3 linked regions of the Macaca fascicularis genome follow. The protein of the gene in region 1 binds, or shares a complex with, the protein of each later gene. Links are inferred from orthologs where the notes say so. Each region holds a gene or a part of one and is shown on either strand. Other genes may lie near its edges.

The links.
Region 2: the proteins of BACH1 (region 1) and FBXL17 are in contact, whole or in part, in a cryo-EM structure (PDB 8UAH), measured with the Homo sapiens proteins. The link is inferred for Macaca fascicularis from reciprocal best matches to the Homo sapiens genes BACH1 and FBXL17. Residues at the interface, in NP_001177.1 of Homo sapiens: Val20, Leu21, Ser23, Leu24, Gln27, Val32, Leu33, Asp35, Phe39, His48, Arg49, Ser50, Val51, Ala53, Ala54, Cys55, Ser56, Ser57, His60, Ser61, Arg62, Val64, Asn72, Thr74, Pro76, His116, Asn117; in NP_001156787.2 of Homo sapiens: Asp395, Arg421, Asn447, Gln473, Gln498, Glu499, Met524, Arg548, Cys574, Leu575, Tyr598, Val600, Ser601, Asp623, Trp626, Met651, Arg652, Val676, Gln678, Asp679, Cys680, Arg682, Thr683, Glu685, Gln689, Trp692.
Region 3: the proteins of BACH1 (region 1) and FBXO22 are in contact, whole or in part, in a cryo-EM structure (PDB 8S7D), measured with the Homo sapiens proteins. The link is inferred for Macaca fascicularis from reciprocal best matches to the Homo sapiens genes BACH1 and FBXO22. Residues at the interface, in NP_001177.1 of Homo sapiens: Ser7, Val8, Phe9, Ala10, Tyr11, Glu12, Ser13, Ser14, Val15; in NP_671717.1 of Homo sapiens: Asp366, Gly371, Asn372, Phe373, Ile374, Leu375, Arg376, Lys377, Cys378.

The regions. Positions count from the first base shown.
Region 1 is NC_088377.1:17,713,069-17,716,713, forward strand, and holds part of BACH1 (transcription regulator protein BACH1), read right to left. Parts: intron 525-3,645; coding exon 1-524. UniProt on the Homo sapiens protein: Transcriptional regulator that acts as a repressor or activator, depending on the context. Binds to NF-E2 DNA binding sites. Plays important roles in coordinating transcription activation and repression by MAFK.
Region 2 is NC_088380.1:114,883,488-114,887,862, forward strand, and holds the start of FBXL17 (F-box/LRR-repeat protein 17), read right to left. Parts: upstream 2,857-4,375; 5' UTR 2,439-2,856; coding exon 1,443-2,438; intron 1-1,442. UniProt on the Homo sapiens protein: Substrate-recognition component of the SCF(FBXL17) E3 ubiquitin ligase complex, a key component of a quality control pathway required to ensure functional dimerization of BTB domain-containing proteins (dimerization quality control, DQC).
Region 3 is NC_088381.1:53,200,622-53,204,266, reverse strand, and holds part of FBXO22 (F-box only protein 22), read right to left. Parts: intron 1,079-3,645; coding exon 991-1,078; intron 167-990; coding exon 71-166; intron 1-70. UniProt on the Homo sapiens protein: Substrate-recognition component of the SCF (SKP1-CUL1-F-box protein)-type E3 ubiquitin ligase complex that is implicated in the control of various cellular processes such as cell cycle control, transcriptional regulation, DNA damage repair, and apoptosis.

The sequences.
Region 1 (3,645 bases):
ACAGAAGCATGAATGTCTTTGACACTAGATTCCCCAGTACGGACTCTGTCAGTTCCAAATGCTTTTTGGAATTTTCTGTATTTGGGGCATAAAGAAGGCAAGGCCAGAGCAGCATCCTTCTCTAAGCACATGGATTCATATGTCTGACTGGCACTGTCTTGTAGAGGAGGCGAGGCTTTTGCATTTCCTTGATACCTGCGGAGTTTACATTGAGGAGTCTGAACATTTTTATTTTCCACAAATTCCTCCACTTCATCTGTTTCTAGATCCCTCTGGTCCAAAAGTGAAAGTTTAAGATCTGTTTTCTGACAGTGTGATGAAAAGCATTTTTTTCTTGGGCATTCTTGCTGGTCTGCAGTGGAGTCCAAAAACTTAAATTTCAGAAACTGAAAGCAGGATTCCTCAATATTGTGTACACTTAAAAACTCCACACATTTGCACACTTCATCCACATTCTCTTTACTTAAAATCAGTTTAGCAGTGTAGGCAAACTGAATTAAAGGTTCAAATCCTTTAACTGTCACCTGTTGATACACAAAATAAAAAACACATCATTTGAAAGCTGTCTAGTACATAAAAATGAGATAAGTGGAAGAGAAATAGATGTGTAACTTATTTGTGATAATGATAAAATATGTACTTTAATTTAAAGAAAAAATATTCTTCTAAGAAATGGAAAAGGAAAGGATCCTGGAAAAGCATGCTTTTCACAGCGACCACACACTATTTTATAGAGTCCACTCTTAATTGCACATGAATTATGGTTTACTCACATAAGTTAAAGACATTAAGACATTACAAGTTTCCCATGACAGTGGAAAAAAAAATCATCTATGAATTAGAGCAGGATGAACACGACCTGCCACACATACATAGTGAGCCTACTGCTAGCCCAGCTCCACATGGCCACTGTATTCCAAACAACCCCAACTGCTACCAGCTGCAAAACCAGAACTCTTAAGGATATAAAACAGTACCTGTAAAGAAGTTACAAAGTCCTGATCCATGGTAAATGCATACTAACTGGTAACTATTAACTTTACTGTCCTAACAGTAAAAGTTTTAAAGATACAGATTTTTTAAAGTGATCTAGGAGAAGTTATAGAAATCATGCCTCAGTACTGTTTCAGCAAAAATTCATGGACTCAAAGTAACAAAACTTTTAAGTAGAAACCTGCACATTTACATTACACCTGCCTCTTAAAATGAGAGGCAAATGGAACCAGCTGAAGTACACAGAAAGTCCTATCCTGGGTTAAAAGTACAAAATTAATTTGAAACCACTGAGTTCTTATAAGAGTGGTCAAGATAATATTTGTGATCTTAAAAATCTAAACATGCTAAACCATGTTTAGGCTTTTTAAAGGCTCAAATAAAAAGCAATGATACCATCAAATGCTAATGAGAATGCAGAGAAACTAAATCACTCACATATTGCTAGTGGGAATGTAAAATGGTACAGACAATTTGAAATACACTTTCTTATAAAAGTAAACATGCAACTACCATATGACTCAGCAACTGCACTCCTGGTCTTTTATCCCAAAGAAATGAAAACTTATGTTCACACAAACACCAGTACACAAATGTTTACAGCAATCTTATTTGTGATAGCCAAAAACCGGAATTAGCCTGATTTCCTTCAATAGGTGAAAAGCTACACACACACATACACACACGGTACATCCATACTACGGAATACTACTCAGCAATAAAAAGGAAAAAATTTCTGATACACACAACCTGGATAATCTCACCTAAGTCAAACAACATCAATCCTAAGAGGTAATATACTGCATAATTTCATTTATATAACATTTTTAGAATGAAAAAACTTTAGAAAAGGAAGAAAGGTAAGTGGTTGCTATGGATTAGGGATGGAGAAAGGGGGCAAGGGAATGAGGGCATGGAGTGTAGGCAGGAGATGTCTGTGGTTATAAAAGGACAACAAAAGGGATCTTTGTGTGTTGGCAAGTTCAGTATCTTTTTTTTTTTTGAGGTAGAATCTCGCTCTGTCACCCAGGCTAGAGTACAGTGGTGCAATCTCGGCTCACGAGTAGCTGGGATTACAGGTGCCCGCCACCACGCCTGACTAATTTTTGTATTTTTAGTAGAGACGTTTCACCATGTTGGCCAGGCTGGTAAACTCCTGACCTCAGGTGATCTGCCTGCCTCGGACTCCCAAAGTGCTGGGATTACAGGCATGAGCCACTGCACCCAACTGAGCATCTTAACTATGGTGGTGGATACACAAACCTTCACAGGGGATAAAATTATATAGAACTTAATGCGCGAGTGCGCGCACACACACACACAGACATTATTAGTACAAGCAAAATTGTGGCAATCTGAACCCTATGGGGGACTGTATCAATATCCTGGTTGTAATACTACACTACAACTTTGCAAAATGTTATCAATGGGGGACACTGGACAAAGTGAAAAGGAACTCTGCACTGTTTCTTATATCTGTACATGAAAACATCAAGGTGATAATATTAAATGTCAACTTGACTGGATTGAAGGCTGTAAAGTCTTGTTTCTGGGTGTGTCAGTGAGGGCGTTGCTAGGGAAAATTAACATTGAGTCAGTGGACTGGGAAAGATAACCCACCCTCAATATGGGTGGGCACCATCCAATCGGCTACCAGCAAGGCTGGAACAAAACAGAAGGAAGAAGGTGGGATAGGTGACTTGCTGACTCTTCTGACTTTCGCCTTTCTCCCCTGCTGGATGCTTCCTGCCCTTGACATCAGATGCCAGGTTCTTTGGCCTTTGGACTCTTAGACTTACATCAGTGGTTTGACGAGGGCTCTTGGGCCTTTGGCCACAGACTGAAGGCTACAGTGTTGGCTTCCCTATTTTTGAGGCTTTTGGACTCAGACTGGGCCACTACTGGCTTTCTTCCTCCTCAGCTTGCAGGTGGCCTATCGTATGACTTCACCTTGTGAACGTGTGAGCCAATTTTCCTTAATAAACGCCCCTTCATATATATATATATATCCTATTAGTTCTGTCCCTCTGGAGAACTCTAATACACTCAATAAAAATTTCAATTAAAATTTTTAAATTAGTTAAAATAATCTAAAAAGGTCTTTAGGACAATGAGTTATAAGGTATTTTGACACTGTCACTATAATGAAACACTTCCAATATTTGAAAACTTATGATTTACACATTAGAAAGAATGAATGAATGCACACATACATGCATGTATGCACATACCTTTCCTCCTAAATCCATGAATCAAACTTTGCTTTACTTGGAAAGTCTCATTCAATAATTTGAAAATATGAACCATAATTAATATATCTCCATTATAAAATGTGTTGGTCTTTTTTTAAAACAATGGCCAGTTCACAGGTTGGCCTTTTTTACCATTTTCTTGGTATTGCACCATTGACTCTGACCTCTGCCACAAAACTGACAACCTATCTGTTCCCAAAACTGTAGCTGCATTTTCATAGAAGTAGGCATGGACAGCAACAAGCTAAACTGTAGACTTAGTTTACAGTTTATCCAACTGTATCCAACTGGGAACATCCCACACAGACCTGTCATACACAAAGAATTTCTACATTCTTTCTCCATATTCCTCCTAACTTCTATCTGTGTCCCAATGCCACAGCTTTGATACTCTGCTAAT
Region 2 (4,375 bases), on another chromosome or scaffold:
CAATCAAATTTCTATACCAAATATTTGTTGATATTTTATTTATCCATATCATCCAGTGATTTAAAGGACTCAAGAAAGTTCCCTTTGTCCTAAAATGCACCTCTGCACACAAAGAGTAGGGAATTACTCTTCCAACAAGTAGACCTCCATAAGAATTAGATCATTACATTTTGACACAAGGAAATGTAAGTTTTCCCACCTTCTTGCTGTATCATTCACAAGAACATTAATATCACAGTAAAAAAGACCCAAACACACAGTACTGTAAATATGCAAAAAGTCTAGTCACAGAAACTATATTGGTGACAATAACAATTGTAATTACTGACAGTTACTTCAGTAACGGTAAAAGTAGCCAAATTCTTATCAAGATTATTTATGGATAGTCTCTAGTATCATCCACAATGAAAATGGTTTATATTTATTAAGCTCCACATAGGGTAGGGTGGGAGAAGACAGAAAAAGAGGAAAAAAGTTAATAACTTAAGAAAAACTCTATTATGTAACTAAAGTTTGTCACTAGCATTGACAAAACTGCAAAATATCCTTGATAGTTGAAAATGACACAAAGTTCATATAGGACACCTACCTCTACTCACCCATTTCCCAACAAAAAATACATCTGCGCTTACCTCTGGTAATCTGCATGCTTTTATGCAAAGGCTAAACTGTAGAAGGGCATTACAACATAGCATAAACAAAGGGGTTTTAAAGTCAGGTGGTCTTAAATTCCCTCATTCAAGACCTAGATCTGCCCTTTACTTTCTGTATGTGACCTTGCACAAGTCATTCGACCACTTCAAGCCCCACTAGACTGTCAGCTCCACAGGAGCAAAGGCCACTTCTGCCTGACTCACTACTGTAAACAGTGGCCCACAGCACGGAGAAGTCAGTTTCTTCTGGTATAAAATAAAGATATTAACAGTATTTATCTCGCAGCTTTAACTGAAGGAATAAATGGGATATTATATATATAAAGTTCTGGTGCAGCGCCTGATTATGGTAAATGCTCAATAATAACTGTTTGACATTAACTACCAATCATCAAACATAAAAGTAATGTTTGAAGACCTTCAAATACTAATACGCAAAGCCTTTACCCACTAAGTATAAACTTCCCGATTAATTTTTTTTTTCTTTTCCACAGAATACCTGCGAAGTTTCTAAACGACTGGGTTGGGATTCTAATAATAGCTGAACCCTGAATGGTGGGTTACAGAGTCAAGCTATTAAAAGACATTCAGTAGACTCCAAGTGCTCCTACTTCAAAAAATAGGTCATACGCAGAGGCCCCACTGGCTTCCCAGTCTCCCCTTCGGACGTCCCTAGACTGTCAGGGAACCCCCCTCCTCCGCGTTTAGGGGGAGGAGAGAGAAAGCCTCAGAGGCGGGGGCCGAGGGTGGGGGAAAGCGAGCATCCCTGCGCCTCTCGCCCAGACCCACCTTGAGCAGGATGGACGGCGGCAGCTGGTTGATGTCTGGGGTTTCGGGGGACGGCTCCCTGTGACAGTCGCAGGGGTTTTCGGGGGGCTCCCGACAGTCCGCGTCGCCACATTCATGCTGCTGCTGGGCGGACGAGGGGGCGGTGCCCCCGGCTCGGACAGCGTCCCCGCCAGCTTCGGTAGGGGCACCTTCGGAGGTGGGAGAAGAGGGCGGGGGGCAGAGCGGCTGCGGGTGCTGCTCCGGGCCCTGGCAGCAGCCGGCGTCGGGGGGTCGGGGCGGCGAAGCGCCTCCCCCCGCAGGCCCTCCCCCACCACCACCGCCGCCGCTGCCGCAGCCCCCGCCGCCGCAGCGGGGCTGCTTGCAGGGGGTGCAGGCTGGGACCCCGGCCCCCTTCCGCTTGCACACCATTTCGGGGGGCGTAGGGGGCTCGGCCGGCGGCGGTGTCGGTCCCCGGAAGAGCTGCACGGCGGCGGGCGGCCCCAGGAAGCGCACCGGCCCCAAGCTGGCCAGGAAGAGACTTCGGCCCTGCTGCTCCCAGGCGGCGGCCGCAGCCAGCCCCAACTCTTTGCAGCAGGAGGCGGGCGACGAAGCCGAGGCGGCAGCGGCTGCGGCGGCGGCGGCCGAGGATAGCAGGAAGCGGCGGGCGGCAGCGGCGCAGTCCTCGGCGGCCAGGGCCGCGTAGCGCCGCGCCAGGTGCTGGGAGGAGGAGGCGGCAGCGTAGGCCCCGTCCCGCGGCGGCGGCGGCGGCGAGAGCGGCGGCTCCTCCTCTGGGCCGGCGGGGGCGGGCGCGCCGGGACTGTGCACGATGAAGCAGAGCATGCAGGGCCCGCGGAAGAAGCAGTCCCGGCTCCGGGGTGCCGCCGGTTGAGGGGGCACCTTGGCTGGGGTCCGGCGGGGCAGCCTGAGGAGAGGGCGCCGGCGGCGGCACCAACTGCAACAGCGAGGCCTCTTCTGGCTCGGGCGGTTACGCGGCTCCTTCGAGAGAAGGTGGCCCATATAGAAGACCCCGAGGAGGGGGACCGGGACGGGAGGGAGGGAGACCCAGAGAGGCGGGCTCCTGGCAGCGGGGCAGGCCGCTCGCTGGCTCGGCCCCCGGCCCACGGCGGGGTCGCCCTCCCTGCGCACACACACGCACACACGGGCACACACGCGACGGTGGGGGGTGGGCGTCAGCTGCGGGCCGCCGGAGTGCCCGACGGGGGCTACATGCTCTGCCCAGGGAAGCCGGGAGAACGATGGGCGCGAGCTTTGGGGACGCGAGGGAGTGAGCGAGCGAGCGAGCCTGCCGGCTAGGTGACCAGTCCGGGCCCGGCCAGCCGGCTCAGTCAGTCAGCGCGGCAGCGGGGGCAAGGCCGGGTCCCGCTCGGACCATTTTAACTGCGGATCTGCCGCCGGCGCGCGCGCCCGCGACTCTGCTCGGAGCCGCAGGAACGCGCGGCCCGTTCCGGCAGGGGGCGGAGCCAGTTGCGGTGGCGCGCTCGTGGCGGGGACGCTAGCGCCCGCTGCTCACCCGGAACGGCAGCCACACGGCACTACGGGAAGAAGCCGGCCGGCTAGGGTATGGAGCTCTGGGCTCGCGGGGTGCGGCGCGCGCCCCTCCCTCCAGCCGCCTAAGGTTTTTCCGAAGCTGCTGGGCGTGCGCCGCTTTTCTAAGGCGGGAGGAGACACTTCCGAGCCAGCTGTGTGACATCCGTTTACACAGCCGCGCTGACGTCTCGAGGTGTAAGTTCAAGAGCTGCCATTGGCCGGTAGCCGCTCGGCTCTTCCCCTCATCTTCCACCCCTATCACCACCCCTGACTCGGAAACCCAGGCCACTTCGAAGCCGCGAGGCGGGTTCCGCCGGAAGGGCCGGCGTGGGTGCTGACCGCGCCTTGGGCGGAGTGGCAGATGCGGCCGGTGGGTGATACGCACCCAAGTCATGTGAGGGGTTGATTGGTTGTGCGGCATCACTGTTTACTCACTTGTGTTTTATTAATTGTTGCGTACTACTGCCTTTCCACAACTTTATTTCAGAGTGAAAGCATATATCAAATTACCTGTGCACGGTGGAAAGATAACAGCTTCCCCACCCAATGAGCCATCCAACACCCAGGCTACAAGCTGTAGATCACTTTATTGTCTGCACCCTCGGAATGCTGTCTAGCCATCTGTTATATATTTTAAACATGACGGTGCAGTGCCGGCTGTATGACAAACCTTGGTGAGTCGGATGAGAAAGAGGAAATAGCTGTGCAGGCAGTCCGTTAGAAGGTTTGACTATATCGAGGCTAGAGAGCTAGGGCAGCTACTAGAGCGGCACCTGGTCTGGAGAAGTTAGCTTTCACAAGCGAAGAATTGGAGGAAGCAAATACCGATGGGAATGAGCGACTCCAATGAGAGAAATAGGAGAAGGTGGAATGGAGAGTGCTTTAGGAAGGACACTTTCTTCATTGTGATTACAGAGAATGACGAAAGGTAGATAAAGGATGAATATAGATAGGTGGATGTTTCTAGCCGGAAGGTGAGAGTTCCTTTCTGATGGTTTCTATTTTCCTTCAGATAGAGCTTGGTTACCTGCTGAAGGGTGGAAGTGAAGTGGCAGCTGTTTAAAAAAAAAATCTGCTAAGGATAACTTGAGAGAGCTGACTGAGGGAGCAGTATTGCAATATTCAAGGCCCAGTGACTTAGAGACCTCTGTTGGAACCTACATTGCTATTACCACTATAGTGGCCAGCGCCACCCAGTCTGCACTCAAACATGCTATCCAACATTTGTTTATTGTGGCCTCTTTGTCAGAAATGACTAATCTTAAGTCTGTCACATTCAGGGATCCTTCTTTCAGAGCCTAATGACAGTGATGTGGAATTCTAGAAGCAAATATTTGTCAAAAGGTTTCACAGACATACACGCTATTCACTATCAAATGCATTGCCTGAACTACATTTACCTACAC
Region 3 (3,645 bases), on another chromosome or scaffold:
ATAATTCACCAATCCAAAGGACCCCACATTAATGCAAGGAGGAAATCATCAAGTTGCTAATTTTTCTCACCTACAATTCCTGGGGTCACAATCCCAAGGACCTGGCATTGTTTGGGGAATAGCTTCTCAAGGGCAAGTGCTGTTTCCATACTAGTTCTTTTCCTTGCTGTAAAAATACAGTAGCAAAATGATTAAATATCATCCATTTAAAGTCAAATCTGACAATGAAAAAGTAAAAAAGCAAATACTGGAAATATTTAGGTCACCTGACACGAGAATGCTCTAAATAAAGGTCTAAAAGCATTGATTAAAACAAACACTTTACCTGTTTTGGTCCTGGCTTTTAAATTCTAAATCTGATCTTTTGCACCACTAGTCTGCCTTTCCTCTCTGTTCATATAATGCTTTTGCCCCAGTGATGTCAAATTTAGCAGTAACAGCTGAATTTTAGACTTGCTACTGTACCTTTCTGTTCAGCTGATATTGCAGTATAACTACTATTTGCATCAACAGTTAACTGGATTCAAATTAGACAATAAGAATCCATTATCTAAGTCTAATTTGGGGCCTATGTATGCCCATCTTGAATACCTATTCTGCCTTTTCCCTCAGCCAGCCAAAAATGCACCATTTCTCTACATAACTTTGGTAAATGGGACCTCATGTTCCAATATAGTAAAAGGCCTGAATAGCCAAAGTCATACAACCTGTTTTAATAATAAAAAGTGCCTGGAGAATTAAAGCATCTCAAATTGAGAAAAACACCTTTCTAATGAATTTGTTTCAATTACACTACAAGGTTTAGAAATCAATCTGAAGCAGAAAGGGTTCCTCAAGGTTCAAAGATAGATACATTCATGCATACTACAGGTGGCAGTCCCACAGCCTCAGAAAGTCGATTAAGTCTCAGGACAAGTACAATATTGAACTCCAAACAGAAGGCACATGATGAAAAAAAACAGAAACAAAAGCTTTTCTTTTGATAGTTACCTCTCTTATGGCCACGACACTCTTCCAGACTAATGAAAGTTTCTGAATCAGCCATGTAAAGAACTGTATGTGGTAAGATGCGAACATTCTGCAAAAAAAAAAAAAAAAAAAAAAAATTGGAATTGGATCCCATGAATCCATGAGTGCTTCTGCATAGTCCCTTAAAGTATCACCCAGTCCACAGTGCAATGAAATTAGAACTCAGGATTAAAAAACTCACTCAAAACCGCACAATTACATGGAAACTGAACAACCTGCTCCTGAATGACTACTGGCCAAATAACAAAATGAAGGCAGAGATAAAGATGTTCTTTGAAACCAATGAGAACAAAGACACAATGTACCATAATCTCTGGGACACAGCTAAAGCAGTGTTTAGAGGGAAATTTATAGCACTAAATGCCCACAGGAGAAAGCGGGAAAGATCTAAAATCAACAACCTAACATCATAATTAAAAGAACTAAAGAAGCAAGAGCAAACAAATTCAAAAGCTAGCAGAAGGCAAGAAACAACTAAGATCAGAGCAGAACTGAAGGAGACAGAAACATGAAAAATCCTTCAAAAACTCAATGAATCCAGGAGCTGGTTTCCTGAAAAGACTAACAAAATAGACAGACCGCTAGCCAGACTAATAAAGAGAGAAGAATCAAATACACACAATAAAAAATGATAAAGGGGATATCACCACTGATCCCACAGAAATACAAACTGTCATCAGAGAATACTATAAACACCTATATGCAAGTAAACTAGAAAATCTAGAAGAAATGGATAAATTCCTGGACACATACCCTCTCCCAAGACTAAATCAGGAAGAAGTCGAATCTCTGAATAGACCAATAACAAGTTCTGAAATTAAGGCAGTAATAGCCTACCAAGCAAAAAAAGCCCAGGACCAGACGAATTCACAGCCAAATTCTATCAAAGGTACGAAGAGGAACTGATACCATTCCTTCTGAAACTATTCCAAACAATGGAAAAAGAGGGACGCCTCCCTAACTCATTTTTTGAGGCCAGCATCATCCTGATACCAAAACCTGGCAGAAACACAACAAAAAAAGAAAATTTCAGGCCAATATCCCTGATGAATATCGATGTGAAAATCCTCCGTAAAATACTGGCAAACCGAATCAAGCAGCACATCAAAAAGCTTATCCACCACGATCAAGTCAGCTTCATCCCTGGGATGCAAGGCTGGTTCAACATATGCAAATCAATACACGTAATCCATAACACAAACAGAACCGATGACAAAAACCATGATTATCTCAACAGATGCACAAAAGGCCTCTGATAAAATTCAACACCACTTCATGCTAAAAACTCTCAATAAACTAGGTATTGATGGAACGTATCTCAAAATAGTAAGAGCTATTTATGACAAACCCACAGGCAATATCATACCGGATGGTCAAAAGCTGGAAGCATTCTCTTTGAAAACCCGCAGAAGACGAGGATGCCCTCTCTCACCACTCGTATTCAACAGAGTATTGGAAGTTCTGGCCAGGGCAATCAAGCAAGAGAAAGAAATAAAGGGTATTCATATAGGAAGAGAGGAAGTCAAATTGTCTCTGTTTGCATATGACATGACTGTATATTTAGAAAACCCAGTCATCTCAGTCCAAAATCTCCTTAAGCTGATAAGCAACTTCAGCAAAGTCTCAGGATACAAAATCAATGTGCAAAAATCACAAGCATTCCTACACACAAATAACAGACAGCCAAATCATGAGTGAACTCACATTCACAACTGCTACAAAGAGAATAAAATACCTAGGAATACAACTTACAAGGAATGTGAAGGACCTCTTCAAGGAGAACTACAAACCACTGCTCAAGGAAGTAAGAGAAGACACAAACAAATGGAAAAACACCCCATGCTCGTGGATAGAAAGAATCAATATTATGAAAATGGCCATACTGCCCAAAATAATTTAGAGATTCAATGCTATCCCCATCAAGCTACCATTGACTTTCTTCACAGAATTAGAAAAAACTACTTTAAATTTCATATGGAATCAATAAAGAGCCCGTATAGCCAGGACAATCCTAACCAAAAAGAACAAGGCTGAAGGCATCATACTACCTGACTTCAAACTATACTATAAGACTACAGTAACCAAAACAGCATGGTACTGGTACCAAAACAGATATACAGACCAATGGAACAGAATAGAGGCCTCAGAAATAACACCACACATTTACAACCATCTGATATCTGACAAACCTGACAAAAACAAGCAACAGGAAAAGGATTAACTATTTAATAAATGGTGTTGGGAAAACTGGCTAGCCATATGCAGAAAACTAAAACTGGACCCCTTCGTTACACCTTATACAAAAATTAACTCAAGATGGATTAAAGACTTAAGTGTAAGACCTAAAACCATAAAATCCCTAGAAGAAAATCTAGGCAATACCATTCAGGACACAAGCACGGGCAAAGACTTCATGACTAAAACACCAAAAGCAATGGCAACAAAAGCCAAATTTGAGAAATGGGATCTAATTAAACTAAAGAGCTTCTACACAGCCAAAGAAACTATCATCAGAGTGAACAAGCAACCTACAGAATGGGAGAAAATTTTTGCAATCTATCCATCTGACAAAGGGCTAATATCCAGAATCTACAAGGAACTTAAACAAATTTACAA